3 linked regions of the Alligator mississippiensis genome follow. The protein of the gene in region 2 interacts with the protein of the main gene of each other region in a biochemical or structural test. Links are inferred from orthologs where the notes say so. Each region holds a gene or a part of one and is shown on either strand. Other genes may lie near its edges.

Region 1 (7,058 bases), on a different chromosome or scaffold from region 2:
CTTTAAAGTTTTCATTAGCGCTCTGGAAATGAACTCAGGAAAGCTTTGGCAGCATGCATGAAACTTAAGCTTTGGGGACTTTAACAAGATAGGTTTGTTGAGGACATTGATCTTGGAGAAGCTTTTGGAACTGAAATGTTGACAGCTGTCTTCATGGATACTTGTGAATAAAATAAATCTTTTGCTTAATTCATCATCTGAGATCACTGAATTATTTCCGACTCCTTTGAGGTATAAGTGTCTGTTACGGGCTTATGTGGAAAATCTCTTTGTAGATTACAGAAACTGGCGCAGATTAGACTAGACTAATATTTCCAGAATTTATCCAGTGACTAGATCTCAAAGTCATGCCCTTGTTTTTGAAAATGTTAGGCTGTTTGGTTTTATATATCTCAGTTTAGAGCAAGGAATACAGCTAGTCAGTTATACATGGTCTTTATAATTATACAAATGAGGAAGCTAGTAAAGAGAATGAAAGTCAGAAGTGAGACTATTAACATCTTCATGGATTAGACTCAGCATGGAAGCTATTTAATCATCTGAGAATGGAGTTGGTGTTGCCAGATCTCATAATTTGTGTTGTTCTTAAAACCCTGAGGTCATGTAAATGTATCAGTGTGTCAGCTTTAAGTGGTTTTTTTTTTTTACATTTTGCTTTTCAAAGTGAGTTTCTGGCTCTCCTGGTTTTGGAGAAAAGCTTGAAAATGTGCACCGAGATCAATGCAAATCAAGATGGGGAAATAATGCAAATCTTTTCTAGCTCATCATTTTAATCCACTCCAGGACTTTCCCAGGCTTGATTTTTATGGGGTTTTTTTACCATTTGAAGTTGGTTGCAGTCACCAGTAGCTTACATGCCCCTAAATCAAAAGGGAAGCAGGGCACCAAGGAAAAGGAACCCTCTAGCATTGCTAAATGGGGAGGTTCATGTGAGACGGGGCGCTCACAACTGCAAGGTAACGCACACTGGAATGAATAATTTAACAGCCACTCTAATTTAGAGGAAAATGATCTAGGTATCACTGTGGATGGCCCAATTAAAGCCTCTCCGCAATATGCAGCAGTGATCAAAAAGGTAAACAAAGCATTAGGATGTACAAGGAAAAACTACGAAAAACATTGCTGCTGCTGTTGGGTGGATCTGCTGCGCTCTGCCTGGCAGAGAGGGGGGAAGCCTGGAGAGCAAAGGGTCCAGTTCTGCTTGTGCCAGCTGTGAGACCAGTGGCCAGGTGATGGCAGCCCCCCTCCTGGCTGCCCTGCCTGGAAGATGGACTGCAGGGTTACAGGGAGAGGCCGCCCTGCAAACGAGCCTGGCCGGGAGCACGTGCTCCAGAGAGAAGCCAGACTCCCTTGCAGGAGGCTGTGGAGAGAATGGCACCTTGGGAGGGAAGAGGGACAAACCGTGTCCTTCACTGAGCAGGGGATGAAGGGTTTCAGACTAGGAGGGCCCAGGGACCCATACGCTTACTTTGTGCAATAGCAACATGAACCAGACTCTACCCCTCTTCCCCCAGGGCTGGGTGGGAGGTCAACGAAATGCCAGGGTTTGTGTGAGGGGAGCGGGCGGGGTGGATGGCAGGGTCCTGCCCTGGGGCAGCCCATGCTGGACCTCACCCTGCAACGCAACACCCGTGTCTGGAAGGCAGTGTTCAGGGCTGGCCACTCCTCTGACAACAGAAACAGAATGGCACCAGGGGTTGGGGGCTAAAACCAGAGACTCGGATCAAAGCCTTCCACAGTGAGGTGTGGGAGGCAGGGACAAAACGGAGAGATACGTAAATTAGTGAATGGTGCTGATTAGAGAAAGTAAATTAAACTCTCCTATTTCCTTTCCCCGAGAAGAAAAAAATGATGCAACTGAAGGATTTGATAAAAATTGAACTGTTTTATTGAACCATTGTAAAATTCAATATATAATTAACCTGTGCAAGGCATTGGCAAAAGGTGTGAAGACCTTCTAGGTTCCCTAGAGGACTGGACATGCATCCTTCTGGGCGACCAGAGCTATACTGAGGCAGGCTAGCACGCTAGCTGCAGCCGCCCAGCACTTTTGAATGTCACGCTGCATCCATTAAGGTGCCACCGTGTAGACTTAAGAGTATGACCTCAGTTTTTAAAATTTTGGCCAATGAGAAGATCCAGTTACATTTAATAGGATAAGAGAGATTTTTACGAGGGCTATAAACACTTTTTTGTTTCAAGGGTATAGACCAACTACCACCCTCGACTTGGAAAGAAATTTCCTCTAATGAACTGCCCATAATGTCTGTGCGTTACGGTTTGCTGTGCCTTCCTTTGAAGCATTTGGCACAAGCCAAGGCCAGAGAGAGGCTACTGGGATGGCTGGACTATTGATTTAGTCTGGTGTGGCAAGTCTACGTGAAATGCTAAATTTTGGATTCAAATGGATTCGACAATGTCCCTTTTACTGTCCAGGATGCCTAACACCACAAAGCCTCCAGCCTTCTCACTCGCATTCTGCAAGCGTAAAAGAAAATTTAGATCATTTTGAGTTATTTTCACGTCTGTTGGCAGGTAGCCAAGTACACTTCAAATGGCACCGCATGTAATGAGTCCGATCCATCCCTGGCAGAGCTCCATTAACACGAACGGAGCCACAATCATATTTTCACCAATATGATCAGCTGGAGGCCAGTTAATGTCTCCCTAGCCACTCGTGTAACTTTTAAATGATATCCTCCCTTCTGCCGGCTGCCCTTCCAAAATCCCTTTGTCCCGAGATTCAAATGCCACTAATTTTTTTGTTAAAGTCCCTATTTTTGGCAGTAATTACCATATGACCTATAGGAGATACGGGCCGGTGGAGATAAAGACGTGCAGAAGCCACAGGAAACCCACAGCAAAGCGTCGTATCCGTTTGTTAGAGGTGAAAGTTTGCGGTGATTTCTGAACGAGAAAATTAGCTGCCTTTTACGGTTCTGCACAGATGTTAATTATGGGGGAAAGTTCAGCGTGCAAAGCTGGTATTTCTAGTCTCTGTTATTGTGGAGATGGCCAAGAGTATCAGGAAACAAATAAATGATTGTGACGTAGAGCAAGGGCCAGAGGTGGGCCGTTTCCTTGTGTGCGAAGGAACACGCGTACGTATCTCAGCTATGTAAGGTCACACCTCGCACCCTCCCCGCTTCCGCTTTGATTGCCTTGTGTACAGAAGAGCTTCAGAAACGATTGTGCTGGATTCCTTGAGCTGCGGGCTGAACGGGCACGGTCCTGTGGCCAGCCTCGAGGCAAGGCGGTCGCCTTCCCCTTCCCAGAGCAAGCCGGCCCGCCTCGCAGGGTTGAGGCAGGGACGGCCCTCGGCTTCGCAGCAAGAAATGCAGTTTCTGGGGGACCGCGCGCGAGGGCCTGTATCGGACCGGTCGGGCGCGCTGAAGCAGAAGGCTCTCTAGGGATTATTTTTCAAGTTGACATCTAGGGTTCGGCGTGAGCCTTGCCAACATCAGTAGGTGTTCGGGAGTTGTCCTGACTCCCCCCAGCCTCGAGACTGGAGGGCGGGAGCCCGAGGGCCGCCCCAGCCTCCCGGCGGGCCGCGCGTACCTGTCAGCACCCGTTCAGGTGGCATTTCCCCACGCGGAGGGAAAGGGTGCCACTGCCGCGTGGCCCCGCACGAGGTCAAGGGCAGCAGGCTGCAGCTCCTGCTTTGCAGCGGGCGGGCGGGCGGGCCGGGCCGGGCCGCACGGCGGCGAGGACGGGCTGGCTCTGAGCAGGGTTGTTGCGCGCTCTGCTCTCCCGTGCGGTCTCCAGCGATTGGGGCCCGGGACGTCGGGAGGCAGAGGCCGTGCCCCGTGCCCCGGGGAAGAGCGACCCCAGCCCGTGGTTCGTGTTAAACCCACCTGCCCCTTGATTGATTGATTGATAGATTGATCAATCTCCCCCCGCGCTGCGCTGCGCCGTGTCCCACAAGCGGGCGGGCAGACACACGTGCGCGGCGCGGCGCGGCGGGGCGGGGCGGGGCGGGGGGAGGCGTGACGTCAGGGGGCGGGGCGTGCCGGGGGCGGGGCGGGGCGGGGCCGGGCAGTCGGTTGCTGGGCGGTTGGTGTGTGGGGTCGGGTCGCGTCGCGTCGCGTCGGGCTGGGCCGGGCCGGGCCGGCTCGGGAGCCCCATGCGGCGGCATGTCCAAGACGCTGCGCCGGCGGCGGCACTGGCTGAGCAAGGTGCAGGAGTGCGTGGTGTCCTGGGCGCCGCCGCCCGACCCCGGCTCCGGCTCCGGCCCCGGCCCCGAGCTGCTGCGCGGCGGCGCCGAGCGCGGAGAGTTCCCCTACCTGGGCGCCCGCCTGGCCGAGCCCGGCCCCGGCCCCGGCCCCGGCCCCGCGCTGCTCTCCGGCAAGCCGCCCAGCCCCGGGGACGTGCTGCTGGAGGTGAACGGCACCCCGGTGAGCGGCCTCACGCACCGCGACACGCTGGCCGTCATCCGCCACTTCAGGGAGCCCGTGCGCCTCAAGACCGTGCGCCCAGGTGAGCCCCCCCGCGCCCCGCCGCCGCCGCCCTCACCACCGGCCAGCGGCTGGAGCGGCCCTGCCTGCGTCCTCGAGACTATGGGGAAACTGAGGCTGTCGCAGCGAGCGGCGCCCGCATTGCTGCTGGCACTTGGAGGGCCAAGTTTGCTCTCCCAGGCGCGGGGCTGGGGACAGCCCTTGCCTCCGCCTGGGGGGTCACTCGCTCTGGTTGGCACGGGAGCTTGTGGCCGAGCAAACCCGTCCTGGCGGGGGGCCCTCCTGCGAAACTCGGCTTCCGCCGCTGCGTCCGACCTGCAGCTCCCCACGCTGCGAAGTTGGCACGAGTAACTTGGCTTTGACGTCCCGCTCCCGCGGCTCTGCTGCGCCCCCTCTCCAGAGCGCTGCGGGGGCCGGTGGCCGGCGCCTGGCACGCGAGGCGCGCGCGGGAAACTTGTGCCGTGCGAGGCGGTGGCGCTGGGCGGGCGGGGAGCGGAGATGGGCCCCTCCAGGGTGGCTGTCAGCTTTATGTGGACCCACAGATTGTCCGCACGGGCCTTGTAAAATGTGTGGCAGGAGTTGAGGCCGGGGGGAGGCTTGTGGCAATAGAGATAAGAGTATTTATTCCGAATAGGTTCTTTCCTTCTAAACTCGGTGGAGGAAAGATGGTGAGGGTAAAAGCAGCACAGAGAGAACCAGCATGTTTTGGTTTTTTTTCCAGGCATCCTGCCATTTTTGGATGAAGTAGGACTTGCCCTTTGCAGAGCGTTAGTCCTGACAGACCTGTTAAAAATGCTTGCCCTGTGGTCGCCTGCTACAGAAACGAGTCTGATGGAAAGCTTTGGTCTTGCAGCGAAGGGTTGCCCTCCCACGGTTGTTTTATAGCTTCGGCATTAAGATTTCGTTCTTTTGTTCTGCTTAGGATATTTCCTGTCCGCTCTGTCTTCAGATCGTTTGGTGTTGTGCTGCGTCCTGATGCGAGCATTGTAGCTCATCTAAACATCCGTGTGTCACGGTGAATAATTTCTAGTTGCAACCGCTGAAATGCGGGGTGTGCATGTGATGTGTGTAAGGTGGCTTGGCACTTCCAAGCGAATGTTTCCTGCAGCCGCAAGAGGCATCGGAAAGGATTGTAGTCCCTTGACTGAAGGCAGAGGTGGGTATTTCTAAAGGCAAGGCTCTCTGGGTTTTGGCCCCAGTCGCATCTCTTAGTGGATTAACATCTATATAATCTTAAAATCCAGTAACGCTACAAACAGGTCTCTCAAAGAAGCTCAAAAAGATAAGAAATGAAGCGTGTGTGCTGGCTGTGTGTAAAACATTGGGACTGACTAGGAATGAAATGGCAGATGTCCCCAGGGCAAGCAGGAGATTCTGCACTGTGCTGATTAATTTTGAACCACTTTGATAAATATGGATTCTGAATTTAAGAAGGGATATGCTACTTTTCCTTTTTATCTGAGATTTACATGGCAAATGGGATTTTTTTCAGTTTTTTAATTAGGCTATTGTCAGATAAACTAAGCACTTTACCTTGCATCTATAGTGAGCAGGACTACACAGCAGTTTTAATACCAGAGCTTAACCTTTGGGGCATTGTGATGGCGGGGTAGTGATTATTCCCGGGCTATAATATGTGCATACAGGTGTAAAGGTACATAACATATGGCTGTACAAATCGGGGTGAAACTGTCAAAGAGAATCGCTTGCAGTAAAGGTAGATTTAAAGGAACTTGCCGATGAATCTCTCTCTCTCTCTTTCCTGCTCACTTTTCCCATCAAGTGGGTTTTTGTTTTTCTGGTGTGTGAGACATGAAAATGGTTAGGGACTCTGATTTCTGTGGAAGTTAATCGCGCTCTATTTGATAGCTCAGTGTCACAGAGTTCTGAAATACAATTTCTGAAAGTTATCTCCGTAGTGATGTTCGCTGCTTATTTGAAGCGGGTGAAATCACAGTGGTCAGATGATATCCTGGCTTTGTCCGTGGTCAGGACTGATGTAAATGATGCAACGTTCTTGGAATTCCTCATCACTGTTTCAAAGCAATTCCTTTATTTCCCAAAGAAAACTCAGCTTCTGTTCAGAGAATGGGATTAATTCAAGTGTACTATAATTAGCCAGCACTATCAAATCATTCCAGTAAAGTCCTCTTTACCAGCATGCATCTCAAATGTCAAGTTCATGCTAAATAGTGTTACCTGCAATCACACAGACTAATGATTCACAATTTTCAATCTGAAGCTAATTACAGCTTCTCCAGTTCTGCACAGCGCGGGTGTGAACTTGACAAAGTTTAAACAAGTATTAATAATCGCGAATTTTCTCTTCGATTATTTTTCGGTGAATCCAGAGCTGTAGTGTGGCAGTAGACGGTCATAGCAATACTGACATCTTCCATCTGTGGGACTGCAGCAGTTAGTCATGGATGCTAAGCACGCTGCTTACACAGCCACCACATGTAAACGCTGCCCTGGGTCAGATGTGTTTTCTTCGTTCGGAGGTTAGCTGTATCTCTGCTTTACAGTTTTGGAGCAAATCAAACTTGGAACTAAGTTTTTTTATCCTAAAACATGTTGCAAAGTTAAATGTGCTGTGGATTAAAG
Region 2 (7,609 bases):
AGAAGTATAATAAAATAAATTCTAAATACCTATATATTTTGTCATTTGATTTGGGTTTTTTTATCATAGAATACCAGAGCTCCCCCCTACCCCCTTTGCTCACCAGGGCATGGGTCCAGCTGCACCTGCCCCCTCCCTCCCTGCTTCATGGTGCTGAGCAGCCCTGATATGTCCCTGCCAACGCTTTTGCCCCTCATTTCCAACCCACAGCCCTGCCACCTCAGCCCTGTTGGTGCCTCTCACTCCTAACCCACACTCCCCCATTTAGCAGCTTACCTGCTGTTGTCTGTAACTGTTATCTTCAACAGTTCTGTTGTTGCATGGGTTTTGTTTTATTTTATCAGTGTATTAAACTAGCCTCTCCAAGATAGAGCTGCATAACTCCACTTTGTCACTACCTGTATTTTCTCATACACTGGAAAGGGAGGGTTGTTCTAATGACTAAAACACCTGCTGACTTAGAATTGTATTTCATTAGGCTATGAAGAGACAGGTTGTATATAACAAAAATCATGCTTTTATTTTTTAACATTATTAAAAGCATCCCTTGTACATCTGAGAGACTGGACTGTCCTCCCATCCTCTTTACACTTAAGATGAGCCCATCTTAAGACATGCAGATACTCCTTTGGCTATTGGGTTACAAAGGGTTTTTGTACTGCTGCTCCATGATTCATAAGAGTGTCGTTCTCCCTACCTTCTCCAGTATGTCTGCCCTGCTTTAACCTTATTATTTAGCTCAAGAATTTGACACAGGATTTGTCTTGGAATTCATTCCACTGACCATAATAGGATTTGGATTTATTGATGTACATGAGCTACCCAGTTTAATAAATCAGATTAAGATGACTCACGGATTCTACCACCAAATCCATGCACTGAAATGTGTACAAGTTCTTAAAAAAAATGGGAGAACCAAAGTAGGTACTGGACCTTTCAGTTTAATTTGGTTGCATCTGCAAGGTGAATACTACCTACCTAAAAAAAACCCTGTAAATAGCTAGTTCAATATAGCTATAGTTCATTCAGAGCTATTACATTATCACTTCATATTTTCTGTACAATTTTTATATTTTTTTACAGAATAAAAATATATTTTACCAGAAATGTAATCTAAAATATGTATATTGATTTACATAAGGCTATTATTTGTTCACAGCTCCTTCAAACTTCAATGTTAAAAGAGCTATAGTCCTCTTAACCATATTTTTCCTATTCCTTTTTTAAAAAGCTCACACGCCATTCATTGTCTACACACATTTCAAAAAATTATCTGTAATACTGAGTGTTTCATTACTAGTTTATTCTTTCTTAAAAGAGTATTTGAATTAGCCATGTTTCAGGAAAATGTTTTTCCCTGGTCCTGTATTCCCTTCCACTGAACAAAATTAAGTGTTTTATGCGATTAAAAATAAAACACTAGGAAGCACACTTCAAAAATAATCAACATAATTATTTGACTACTTTGGCACCAACTTTAAAAAAAATCTGTAGATGAAAAATATTTCAGGGCAAATAAAGGGAAAGGTTAGTATTTTTCATAAGCCAATAGATGTCAGTTCCAAGCTAAGGATATTTCCATTTTATATCATGCAAAATAAAAAAAACTGGGTAATTTGTTGATTTTTATGCTATAAGCTAAAGACTAGCTTTTGTACAAATATATGTTAACAAAAAATATGGATCAGTGTCTAAAGTCAAATCTTCTGGTTACACTCCAGTATTGTAAACATGAATGTATGCAGTGTTGTTTCTCAAGAAGAGAAAGAAAGAAAGAAATCAAAGTTGTATCCTAAAGGATTAGGTTACCTATTTTTCATATGTGCTGATGCCCCAGACCTGGGTCTTCCTTTCCCATTGGTTTCATCCTTTCAGGAAGGTCTTCATCTGATTTTGTTTTTCAGGTTCAGTGGAGTCCTCATGGACTCTTTACTCTTTGTGTTTGTGTCATAGATTTGAGGAGATATTTGTTGGTTTGTTTGTTTTTTGGGGGGCTTTTTCAAGAGAGGGAGTATGTCCCCACTTTTATTTGAGGAATGTCTCAAGCTGATTGTTTTCCATGCATGAGAAACCTGTGAAATGACATATTTTAAGAAGTAATTACAATGTTTAAGGGGGTGCTGTTTTCAAGCATATCCATAGAATATCCTGAAAAACGTACTTTGTTTCAGAGTTAGGAAATTTTAACACAAGCTAATATTTCACTGCTATACTCAAAAAACAAAGAACACCTGATAACTGAAATCAGTGGGCTTTTCTACTCAAAAATCATGTCTTGATATTTGTAAGATGATGAGAGAATCTCTGCTTCACAACTCTTGAGCTTGGTGAATTGTATCTCCCCTTATGCTGGAAGCTTCAGAACAGAAGAAGAAATTTTGATACGGTATTTTTCAAGAAAAGCAGAGAGGCAATTTTCCAAAACAAGTGAAGAACATTTGGCTTCAGAGGGAAAGCAGAAGACAGAGACATTTATCAGGATAGGTAATTCCATCCTTCCTCCTTCCATGTTCAATATTGATGCATCTAGCAGAACTGAGAACTCAATGCATAACCTGTAAAGCAGGTTTCTTTTCAAAGGCTTCTTATTTAGGAGTGTGGTGGGAATGATACCAGAATGAGAGAAGTACAAGAAGTGTGTTGAGTAGGGAGTGGAGAGAGAGAAATAGGTAGCTGGGTAAATGGCAGTCACAAAAGTAGAACTGCATTGTGGGAGATACATATAGCTGTACTGTAGCTATGTTTATTTTAGGCTAGCAGTAAGACTTTAGTCCTACTTTCTGTTTTGCCTGTTGGGTTACAAAACTTTCTATGGTACTGCTCCATGATTCATTTGCTTTTATTTGTGGGGGACTCCCTTGGGACCACGCAGCAGGTGCTTAGTAGGGGGAGCAGGCTCTATCCACACAGTAGATGTGACTTCAGAAAATCCAGATTATTTTATTGGAATGACAATAGATACAAATATTGTCAAAACATTAAAGAAAAACAGACAATTCTCTCTCCATCAGGGCAGATAGATTATTCTGATGATGTAATCTCATGCTCACTTGCTACATTTGTTCATTTCTGTATAGTGTTCCCTTGTTACCATTCGATGACATCAGCAGACATTTATGACTGAGAAAATCTCTCATTGCCCCCACTAACCTGAAAGAGGAATAAAAACTCCATTTCAAATCTTTCACTGTCGTGTTGGCCACCTAATCCTTCCATTCAATTTGTATGCCTTCCCTCTTCTACTTAGGGATTATCATGCATTTGGGAAGTCACACTTCACTTCTGCATTTTACTGCATGGGGGGGGCACCCCCATCATGGTTATGCTGCTCTCCTGCTGATGGAGGCTTGCCCTTGTATTCTTCCCAGTGCTTGAAATAATCAGGCCCTTGGGCGTTGGGCTGGTGTTGTTAGCATTGGATGTAGGCCTTGTGTGACCAAAGGTACAGGAACAGAGTACGCTGGTAACCCTGAATTTTTTTTCAGTGACTGCAGCTACTCTCTGACCGAGGGGGTTTCTTGATCACAGGCAACAGGTGGCGCCACAACCCGCGTCGCAGGCGGCTCGCCCGCGGGAGGACAGTTCTCCCGCTTGGCAGCAGCTTTCAGAAATTTCATTCCACATTTTCACCGAGGTGCAGCGGGGCCCGGAGGCAGCCTGGCTCTTCGGCTCTGACCGGCGGGGAGGCAGGAGTTCACCTTCCTCCTGGCTGCAGATGAGGCAGGAGTGGGCCCTTGTTGTCCCACAGCCCAGCTGCCGCTTCTGCCACATCCAAGCCTCCTCCTGGAGCCCGAAAAGCCGCACCGAGGCGCGTAGGGCTGGGCAGAGGCACTTGTGTTTCGCTGGGGGAAGCCACGGGGAGCAATTCCGGGTGCTGCTGCCTGTGGCCACCGGCGCCCCCGCGCCGAAGAGCTTCCCCAAGAAGTTGCCCCAAGCGGCCTCCTCAGCCCCGGGACCAGCGGGCCGGCGGATCCCGCTGCCTCCCTCACAACTCCCCCTGCACGGGGCGCGCGCCACAACCCGCACCGCCCCGCGAGCCACCTCCTGCGGCCCCGGGCCAGGGCCGAGCTCCCCCCCAGTCGGGGGAGGGGGCCCGCAGCGGGCAGGGGGGACCACGTGACCCGAGAAAGTAGTTCCGAGTTGGCAGCGAGAGTATCCCTCCGCCGGCCTGCGGCCTGCTCCTGTGACCCCCAACACTCCCCTCAGGAGAACTCTCTATCCTTGCCCCGCAGCGCCCCAGCCCCACGGCGTAGGGGCCCGCAGCGAGCAGCGGGGCAGGGGGGGCGGCGCGTCGTGGGGGCGGGCGGCCGCGGAGCGATGATGTGGCGGGACTACTTTGCGGCGGAGGGGGCGGGGGCGGTGCCAGTGGAGCGAAGCTGTTCGGCGGCCGGTCCCTCCGCGGCGCAGCAGCCATGATGGAGGCTTGAGGCGCTCGGAGCTGCCGCGCGCGGGGAGGCCGCAACCATGAGACGGGCCCGGCTGGGGCCCCGCGCGCAGCCCAGGTCTTGAGCGCGCTGCTTTGCGTCTCCCACCGACCCCGCGCGGGGCTCGGTCGCCTGTCGCCCGCCCCCCGCCCGCCGGTGCGCGGCCCTGAGCGCGGGGCCGCCGCCGCCCCGGGCGGGAGCGGGGCCCGGCCGCTGTCACCATTTCTGGGGCGCGGAGCGCTGGAGGGCGCCTCTCCCCGCCTCCGCCTCACTCGCCTCAAAGACGGCGGCGGCGGCGGCGCAGCCCGGGACTCGGCCGCACGCTGAACCCCTCCGCGGCCGCCGCCGCCGCCCCGGGCCCGGCCCCCGCTCCCGCTCCGCCCGGGGCCGCGCGGGGAGGGGGCAGCAGCCGCCGCCGCCGGGAGCCGCAGCAGCAGCAGCAGGGGGAGGGGGGCCCGCCGCTGCCCCGGGGCCCGGCCGCCTGCGGGCCTCGGGCTGAGCCGCGCGGGCCGCCCCCCCGCTCCGCCGTCCAGAGCCCCGCGGCCGCCGCCGCCCCGAGGTTCGGGGGAGCCGCCTCGGCCCAGCCCCGAGCCCTGTGCGCCCTGCCGCCGCCGCCGCTGCCCTGCCTGCCCGCGCGGCTCCTCGGCGGCCCCCGGCTCCCAGACATGACCGCCATCATCAAAGAGATCGTCAGCAGGAACAAAAGGCGATACCAGGAGGATGGCTTCGACTTGGACCTGACCTGTATCCTGCAGCGGGCTCCTGCCCCCCGGCGCTGCCCGGGCCCGAGCGCGCTGGAGTGCCGACTCCGCGGCCCTTCCCGCCGGGGCCTCGCGCTGACACGGAGCCGGCCCGGCCAAGCCTGCCCCTCCTCGCCTGCCGGGGCCTCTGCGCCCGGGACCGCGCTTGGTCTTTGTGGTGGGGGTGCGGTGCGGTGTGGGGAGCACGGGCTCCTGTGGGACTGAGCAGGGGGGTCTGGGCCTGCCGCGCTGCTGGTCCCGTGCGGGAGAAAACGGGCTGAGAAGTCCTTTGATCCCTGACAGTCATGTCAGGCAGGTTAACGGGGCTTATGTGCAGTAATGGCGATTGCAAAAGATTAACATTAGCGCTCATTTGGAATTGGAGTCTTCTTGCCTGGCCTGCACTGGCACTTACCTTATTTTGGTGTCATGCCTCACTGACACTCCCAGATAATGACTTCGGTGCCCATGCTCAAAGTAATCTTCTGCCTCTCCTTAACTTGTTGGTTGGGTTTAGTTCAGATAGAAGGGGGTTGATTTTTTTTTTTTTAACTGAGCTGTGTACTGTCTTAATTTGGTATCTTAGCTTCTTGAATCAGAAATACCTTTAGCAGATGCATAGCCTTACTTAGTGTTAGTTTGTGTGTGTAAATGGATAGCAAATGGATCCCTTTGATCACATTTCTATTAGTTAAACCTGAGGTTTAACTAAAGATCATAGATGCTTGTGTCCAAATACAAGAAAATAAGCAAATACATTTATCCTTTTAATTTAAAAACAAACTTCAGTGAAAGCTAACATTCTGTAGCCATTGAACTTTACTTCATACTGATCGTTCCTGTAGGTATGAGGCCCCTGTCTTTTTTGCAAATGAGAATAATTAGGTTCTTGTTAACTGAAGCATTGTTTTGGATATATGAAACTGTGAAGAAGAGTTTTTTGCAATATTGGTATGCCATTGGGACTAACCAGTGAAACCATAAAGCGCTAGAACCATATAGTTCTTTTGGCCTGTTAAAGGGATGCATTATGAAAGCATCAGACAGATGTTAGGCTGCCAACATCGTGAAAGGATCTGTCATTTTTCCATCAGAAGTGGAGGTGGTTGCAGATGCTATAGGTTGAACCCACTTTTCACTTTTATCTGTTCTTTAAAATAAAACATCCTTAATGCAAGGATTAGAATTGTAAACATTGAAAATTAGGTTAAGGACCAGAAGTTTAGCTAGTAGTGCTGAATGAGAATATGTTCTGCCTCACAACAAGGACAAGCTGCTTACCGTTTTCTCGGAACATGAGAGAATTAAGTCACAGTTGCAACTACAAATGCGCTTGAGTTCTTGGATATACAGATAGCTAACTGAAAGATTGAATTTGTAATGTTACGTTGATTTAGGACTCAGTCTAAAATGTTGAATACTTAACAGATAAGTGTATTGGCATTGGCAGATGACCCTTAAGGATGTACCTTCCTGATTTTTATTTTATTCTATGAACATATTGACCAAATAATGCTTTATTGTCATTTTAGAGCTGTTTTAAATTCTTCAAAATCTATATTTTGATGACATAACTTGAATAGTAGTAGAAGACTGCATCATCATGCTATAGGTTAGTAGAACATCTGCAGTAATAATATCTGCTCAAACAATATAGCATAAACATCCATGTAATAATATGCCTTATAGCCTAATTCTGTAATTTTGAAAGTTAAGGGTGGGAAGAGAGTAGGGAGGAAAAAAAACTAGGAGCAAGAAAAGAAACCAAATTTTATGCATCTCACTTTTAAAATTTGTCCTTAAAAAGTCTTTTTCAAAGGTGTAATGAGAGTATCTGACAAAACAGAACTTGCATTTATTTATCTATGAATCTAGGTATACTTATTTTTTGTTTCTTGGCAAGGAAATTGTGGGCTATTAATGATTTTGCCTCTTACTTAGCTCAGCATTTGAATGGCATCTTCAGCATTGTTACAGAATTTGTGTGCTCACCCAGAAAAAACCATAAATCTGTTTTTGGGGTTTAAATTGTAAAATGATTTCAATTAAACTTTATTTAGTTACTGTACTTGTAATGAATTAAGTACAGTAGACTTGTACTTTTTAAAAACTACTTTGCAAAGTATTTTTAAAAATGCTTTGCTGAGGAGTTGGTTTTCAATATTAAACGTCATTTTCCTTGTATGTATGTTATTGCAGATTCTGAGCAGTTACTTTATGAAGGAAGAATGCTGTATGTGCCAAATAGCAAAATGTAATTGGATGTACTAGAAAATTAAACCAAGAAAATTGAGGGGTTTTTCTTTATTCTGTAAAACCTAAAGAAGGAAGCCCTTTACAGTTTTTAATGGGATAACTACTCATTATCTAACATCTGGAAGGTATTAAATTGTGCTCTTTTTAGGTAGCTTAACCACTCTTTTCGTGTGTTACTTGTGCACTAAA
Region 3 (7,131 bases), on a different chromosome or scaffold from region 2:
GGAAGGATTGAGCTCAGTGCTCAATAAATATATTAATATTTCAAGATACTTCTACTACACAGAATGACATCGTTATCTACAATACACAACTAACACTTTACATTCAAAGTAACTGTAAATCCAGTTAATCCTTTGACAAGCTCCTGGGAATTAGACGTTATTCATAGTTGACAAATGACAAAATTAAGACCATACGTATATTGTCAGGTGGGAGTGGAACTCCAGTACAAAGTGTTTTAAAAGCATGAAGAAGGATTAAGGAACACAAATCTCATTGACTTTATTGAGGGTTATGGTCCTAAATCATTTTGGGTGCTTTTGAAGAATCCCGCCCCGATGGTTTTTACTCTTACGCTGGGTTTTGAAGCAACACATGCTGAAGGACCCAAATGGGCAAATATTAAAACTAAGGGTATTCCCTATGATGGATAGGTTATTCAGCTTTTATTAATGCAAAAAGGAAGATGCTAGTAGCATATGAAAAGGGAGAAGCTTCCAACTTCTACTGAACTGTCTGTGGACTAAGGAGAGAAAAGTAGGAAGCTAGTTGATGGAGGTTTCCATAAAAGCTTTAACGATGGCTGAAGAACAAGCGGCAAGGTCCAGGGAACTGTACTGATACACAACAGTTAATAGTTCAAACTCGGGCCCAGTGGACTTGACATTGATCCACTCTTACTAAGGGAAGCGGTGTGCCCAAATTTGAACACAGCTGAAAATGAGACCTAGGAATCCCTTGTTCTATTAACAAGAATTGTGCAAGATAATGAGCTACCTATGCAGCATCTCGTATTTTAAAAACCTAATTGATAATTCAAATGTGCAACACTGTTGGATGCTTGATTAGGCAAGCTTCTAAATTAATTTTTTAAACATCTGTTTTAAAAAAAGCATTCAGGAATATTTCTGATTGTTCCCCATGTGCTAAATTAGCCCAAACAAGAGCATAATACATGCAGTGTTGTTTTACTCTACATACCCAAAAAACAGCAAGTCAAATCTGGGTATTTATGGATTAAAATATTCAGCATATTGGATCCCTGAAGAACATAACTAATTATTTTAATTAAAAATGTAAACATTTACGAAGCAATAAAAGCTTTATACTTTTCGTCTAGTTTGCCTAAAAGTAATTGGGGAACACTTTGTGGCATGTAAAAGCAGACTGTAATCCAAAATTACATTTAGGTCTTATTCAAGCAACCATCTAATGAGAAAATTCAATAAGTGAATATAGATTATGCCTTAACTAAAGGTTAAATAAGTTCATATCTAAAACTGAAGCATGGAGTTTCCTGTTACAATGCTGATAATAAGGGTGGGTGTTGTGCGATTAGTTTGTTTCTTTTCTTTTTTTACCGAACATCAAAGGGCAGATTTGAGTGATGTTAAAGAGGGAAATGTTCTTCAGCAAAGATAATTTTAAATAGGTCAGAATTTGTAAGAGCTGGGCATAAGGACAATTCTTTTTTTGTGCTCAGATGGCAGGGTGATAAAAATTATTATAGATAATCCAATAATGTCTCAGATATGCTAGCGGCTGTATTGTGTGTCAACCTTTCTGTGTTAGTGCCCAGTGCAATGATGGATGGTCATCACTCCATCCTTCTGATGTGACACCCTAGGGCAACAATCGCTGTTTTAAATTGTAAAAATATACTCTGGCACCGTAAGGGCACACGTGCTTGCACCATCTTACATTTTCAGAATTGTACAGAGGCGCAGATGCACTGCACAAGTTTAAATGACTGTAAAGTGTACTTACTGTTAAGCGGCTTTTTTTTTTTTTAGCCTGGCAGGCATTATTCTTCCCGCTAGGGGGTAGCATTTCCTCAGGGTCTGATCGCTACACATTGAATCTAGATTACTGACCGGTGGGTTTCTGATCCTTTTTTACCAACAGAAGTAGAAGTGACCCTCTTTCATTCCCTTTTCATGATAATAACCTTCTTTCTTCCATGCTTCATAGACTATTTCAAATAAGTACAACCTCGTTTGTTTTTTCTGTTGCAGCCAAATGCTGTAAAGCCCACTAAAACCAACGGGGTCTTTAGAGCAAGCTCTTTGTGATCTGCCAGTTATCTTCCTGCAGGTTAAGTGGCTTCTGTTCATATCATTCCATTATGCTGTGTTATTAGCAAGAGAGGAGTTATGTGCTCATGAGCCTTTCCAGTTTGAAAGAAATCCCTCTATCGGAACCCTCGACTCTTTCTCCAATACCTAACAGATCCTTTGCTACCAGGACAGATGCTGCTCTCGGGTAAGTCCTGAGCAGTGGTCTCCACTGGCTCACAGAGAAGATGTTACTTGCACCCATAGGAAGTTGAAAAGTTTAAAGTTAACAGCAGGAGCAACATGCAACATGCTGCTTGCTCAGTGTTGTTGCCAATGAGCAAGCAAGGTAGGGGATCACTGGTCCAGAGTAATTCTACTGAGTTTATACAATGCCCTCAGGATTTAACACACAATTTCCAATGCTACAAGGGCTAACTTTCTTAAAAGGCTATAAATTAAGCATTTCACCCTAAGCGCTGCTTCCACACGAAGCATTTCACAGTTCTGTTTCTTCATCCCTTGATGTAAACACTTTGCTTGCACTTTAAGGGCCTCAGTGTAAACTGTATGTAACAGCAGCAGGAGTCACGTAATGGTCTATCCATCGTGTATCTTTGTAGACCAGAGCAGAAAGAAGTGACTCGTGTCAAATTGTAAAAATCCCTGAAATAATTAGATACATTTTTCAGATTTTTTTTTCAATTTGTCACTAGTCACTTCTTTCCACTCCTGTTATTATCTTCAGAGTCCCCCTATCCTTTAGCCCATCAACATCCCTTCCAACATGAGAAGAACATAAATGAACCAGAGAAAAGGAAATATGGTTTTGGACTAGACCACTACCCTGTGACTCAGGAAGTCTGGGTTCATACCCTAGCAGTGCCGCAGGCTTCCTGCATGTCCTCTGTCGGGTCATCCAACACCTGCCGCAGTTTGACCATGATATAGCTTGGAGTCTATTCAACAAATAGATTATAATAATACCTTAGACCAGTGGTTCTCGGTTTTTTTCGACTCAAAGCACTCCTCAGAAAACAGTAACTCTTATTTTTCTCTCAAATTTTTTCCTACAGAAACCCCCCCCCAGCAATTCTCCTGTTGCAAATAACTCGTAAAGGCCACAACAAGTAGGAATGTTTTTAACACTCCAGATTCCTAGTTGAAATCTCTGGCTTTATCTCGTGAAACGTGGTTTTCACACCTAACAGCACTAACATTGCGTGGCAGCCCCGGAGCACCCTTGAAAGGGTCTTGGGGCACCCCAGGGTGCCATGGCATCCTGCGTGAGAACCACTGCCTTAGGAAATCTCTGCAGTTGAGCACAGTCCCGAGACAACGAGTTGGTTGTAAAACAGTGTCCAAGATCCAGGAGGGGTGCGGGGGGGGGAGAAATCTTTATTCTGGGTCTTGTGATTTGGCCGAAATTCCCCCAGGCGAGATCTGATGCGGCGGCGCGCGCTGCGAAGCCCTCTAAAGCCGAGAAGGGGTCTCATCACGATCCGCCTGCGATCCTGCGGGTTCAACGGCCTCCGCTCAGATCATTTCAGCGGTACATGGATCATTTCAATACGCGGACGCGGAGGGTGCATGGATCTGGCTGCAGGGAAAGTTCATTTTAGGACGCGGGCGGCGCAGCTAAGAACAGCTTTCGGAGCCTGGCCACAAGAGCATTTCCACCTCTTTTGAGTCGGTGTGCTAAAAGGGATCGCCTTGACCCTGGTCTGCCCTTTTCCCCTGGCCCGGGCAGAGGTGGGATTGTCCCCTAGTTTTGGGGGGAGACAACGGCACCCCAGGAGCCACCCAGGCCAGAGATGCCTCTCCCCCGGGGCAAAGGGGAGCAAGCCCTCTCCCCCTTCCTGCCCGAGCCCGCAGGAGCTGCGGCCTAGAGCCGGGCGCGGGGCTGGACACAGGCGGGCGGTGCTCGGCGCTGCAGCGGGCGGGGCACGGAATCGGGTGTCACTCCGGCTTGGCCCGGCGGGCACCTCCCCGCCCCCGGCCCGGCAGCTGGTGCGGCTCCTGCTGCCATTGGATTAAAAATAGCAGCCGCCCTCGCGGCCCCCCTTCCCCCGCCCGGCCCGGCTCGGCTCGGCTCGGCGCGGCGCGGCGCGGGCTGCGGGCGCGGGCGCGGGGCCGGGCGGGAGCATGCAGCGCGCCGCGCTCCTGGGCGGCGGGCGGGATGCGCAGATGGCGGCGGCGGACCTGGGCGAGATGCTGGTGCCCTACATGCCCACGATCCGCGTGCCCAAGGCCGGCGACCGCGTCTACAAGGCGGAGTGCGCCTTCTCCTACGACTCGCCCGTGAGTGCGACCCCCCTCCCTTCGCCGCAGGGCAAGCCAGGGCTCCTCCGCTCCTAGGGGCATTGCAAAGGGCAAGTGGGGGGATCCCCCGCTCGCTGCCCCCCCTTCACAGCTGGCACTAGGCCTTGGGTTTCCCAGGCTGGGGGTTGGTTTGATTTTGCAGGCTCCGGGCGGCGGTGGACTAGTGCCCCCCGGTTCTTCTCTCCTCCTTGTCCTCCCCGAGCAAGCGAAGCCACCGAGCGGGCGCCGGTGTGGCGGTTTTTGGAGGGGGCTCGGGGCAGTTTGCCAGGGGCCCTCGGCTCTGCGCGTCGCTGCTGGGTTTTTGCGTTCCTGCAGAGCTGGCGACGGGCAGCGAGCGTCCCCATTCATGTATTTTGTGTCAGCGGGATGCTCCGTAGTGTGGCCTTCGGTGTAAATGTCCGGTCACTTAAAAAACCCCCGGCCCTACCTGAGATTTACCTCTTCCGTTTTGTACAGGGGCATCGCTATAACCCGCAGGAGAGTCGCATTTTTTATCCCTTTTTTGTGTAGTTGGCTGTCAGGTCTCTGCTTGGTGTGTGCGGCCTCCGATGCTATCACATGTTCGTTGGGCCCTGATATTGCAATTGGATCCATGTAGAGACTTGCGCCCATGTAAAACAACATACTTCTTTGGGTTCGGTTGCAGGATCTGGGGTCTTGGCTATTCTCTTCATTGCTTATAAACATCAACAGTGAGGCATCAAATCCTTCCACTTAGATGATAGGTAAGGGAAGTGAAAGGCTGTTTTAAATCCACTGAAGTTGAATGTGCTTCTAATATAGTTTTCCATAAGTAAGGTGAGTACTGTGCATTGACATCAAGTTAAAGTGTCATTTCATAGACATTAGGGCTGGAAGGGACTTCGGAAGATCATCGAGTCCAGCCCCCTGCCCAATATGCCAGAGAGAAATCAAAAAGAAGCACAACATCTGTAATCCTGAGTTTTCAGATGTTTGCGCGATTCTGATTTTTAACTCAATTCGTATTTTTTTTTTTTGCTTTGATATTTCACTTTAATTTGGGGAATCCAAATGGGTTTCAGAGGTGACTCAGCTGTCTGGTGTTCATCATGTCTTGTTGAGGACAGGTTATTTTTACCCATACACTTGAGATCTCAAGTGTCACCAGCAGCCCTCTCTGCTTTGGGATGTCGAAAAAGGCCAGATCAGATGCTACAACAAAGAAATGAATTATTACATATTTAATGGGAGTGGAGGGAACAGAAATCAATGTGATGCAGTGTTCCCTTGCTACTTTTCTGTTTGATCTAGCATGTAATTAATGGATCTAGTAACCTGTCAAGACCTCCGAGACATTGTGGTAAAAAGTTTGTGTTAACTGACAGGCAAAGCTGCTAAATTACGAATGAAATGGAAAAAAAGAGATCAGGTGACTGAATATTAACAGAAAAACATATGTAAGTGGAATATAGAGGTATAGTTTCCGAGTGCCCAAGTCCTCTTGCGTTCAGTGGGAGCCACTAGGCCAATGCTTAGACCAATCTTACATTGTGCCATGATAAGACTCCTTCTTCATACAAGTTTGTAAATACAGAGTGGCCAAATGCTGAAGTTGCTTGTACCCATGCAGCTGCAGTGAGAGCCCAATTGGGCTTAGTATCTGTTGTCCAGTGCCAGTCCTCAGTGCCTTTGGGCAGAAGATTTATTCCAGTGTCCTCTCTTGTATTGGAGGGTTGGGTGATTAGGACAGTGCTCACTGGTATTATTTCTAAACCTAGCTCTGACTCTAGTCATCAAACCTGTTTGAGCTAACGCACCCCGTAAAGCCATGTACACATTTGAAAACGACAACACTTCATTGCTTTCTCCACAATGTAAATGTGTGAGCTAAGTGTACACGTGTGTCATAGTTAATGGAAGATGTTTCCCGCACCATACTTCATATTAAATTGGTTTGGTAACGTGTTCTTGCAGGTTGGCACACATGAACGACTGTGTATTGGGTTTTGCCTGGGCCAGTGGTTCTCAGCCCTTTTAAATTCAGGGCGCCCCTTCAGAAGGTTTCTGAATTTAGTGGCACCACCGTTAAAAGCCACCGTTGTGCTGCCTCAGTTTACCTTGGTGGTTCTCATTGGGGTGCTGCTGCTGCCAGCTGAAGGCTCCCCTTATGTGGAGCATAACCCCTGGCTGGGAAGCAGCAGTAACAGGACCTCAGCGCTTCTGCCTACCCTAGGTTTATCTGATAAGCTTATCTGAGTTGAGCGGAGACAGTGCAACAATAGCGTTTCTCAACCAGGATGCTGCTCAGTTTATCCTAGGTTCAGCTAATAAGCCTGATGCGGACAGGAGGGCCTGCTCCTGCCATCGCCACTCCTCGGTCCAGCTCTGCTTTCTGCATGAGGTGTGTGGCACCGTTGAAAGGATCTTGCGATACCCCGGGGAGCTGCAGCATTGGGCTAGATGTCTATTCTGTCTTTGGAAGAGGAAGGTAGATTTGATTCTGGAGCATTAAAACAAATGAGAACCCTTACCAAAATACCCTCTTGGGTTTCTTATCTGGTGGTTTGCTGGTTGCATTTTCAACCTGGGAAGTAACTATTTCCCCCCATAATTTACAACCTTACATAATATTTCCTTATACCCTCTTGTCCTCCTTGTTTGACACCTAGTACTGCATTTGTCACTATAACACAAGTCCCTGCAGATTTGTTTAAAACCAGCTGCTTTGCCAGTGTTTTATTCTGGCCCTTGAATGGCAAATTTTATTTTTATAGTAGATCTCATTAACACCATAGT

The links.
Region 1: the proteins of PTEN (region 2) and MAGI3 form a complex in vitro, tested with the Homo sapiens proteins (2 studies listed by BioGRID and IntAct, with this or other methods). The link is inferred for Alligator mississippiensis from reciprocal best matches to the Homo sapiens genes PTEN and MAGI3.
Region 3: the proteins of PTEN (region 2) and USP13 form a complex in vitro, tested with the Homo sapiens proteins (3 studies listed by BioGRID, with this or other methods). The link is inferred for Alligator mississippiensis from reciprocal best matches to the Homo sapiens genes PTEN and USP13.

The regions. Positions count from the first base shown.
Region 1 is NC_081837.1:45,114,801-45,121,858, forward strand, and holds the start of MAGI3 (membrane-associated guanylate kinase, WW and PDZ domain-containing protein 3), read left to right. Parts: upstream 1-4,036; 5' UTR 4,037-4,133; coding exon 4,134-4,476; intron 4,477-7,058.
Region 2 is NC_081829.1:65,953,077-65,960,685, forward strand, and holds the start of PTEN (phosphatidylinositol 3,4,5-trisphosphate 3-phosphatase and dual-specificity protein phosphatase PTEN), read left to right. Parts: upstream 1-4,607; 5' UTR 4,608-5,089; coding exon 5,090-5,168; intron 5,169-7,609. UniProt on the Homo sapiens protein: Dual-specificity protein phosphatase, dephosphorylating tyrosine-, serine- and threonine-phosphorylated proteins.
Region 3 is NC_081830.1:80,509,764-80,516,894, forward strand, and holds the start of USP13 (ubiquitin carboxyl-terminal hydrolase 13), read left to right. Parts: upstream 1-4,109; 5' UTR 4,110-4,197; coding exon 4,198-4,353; intron 4,354-7,131. UniProt on the Homo sapiens protein: Deubiquitinase that mediates deubiquitination of target proteins such as BECN1, MITF, SKP2 and USP10 and is involved in various processes such as autophagy, endoplasmic reticulum-associated degradation (ERAD), cell cycle progression or DNA damage response.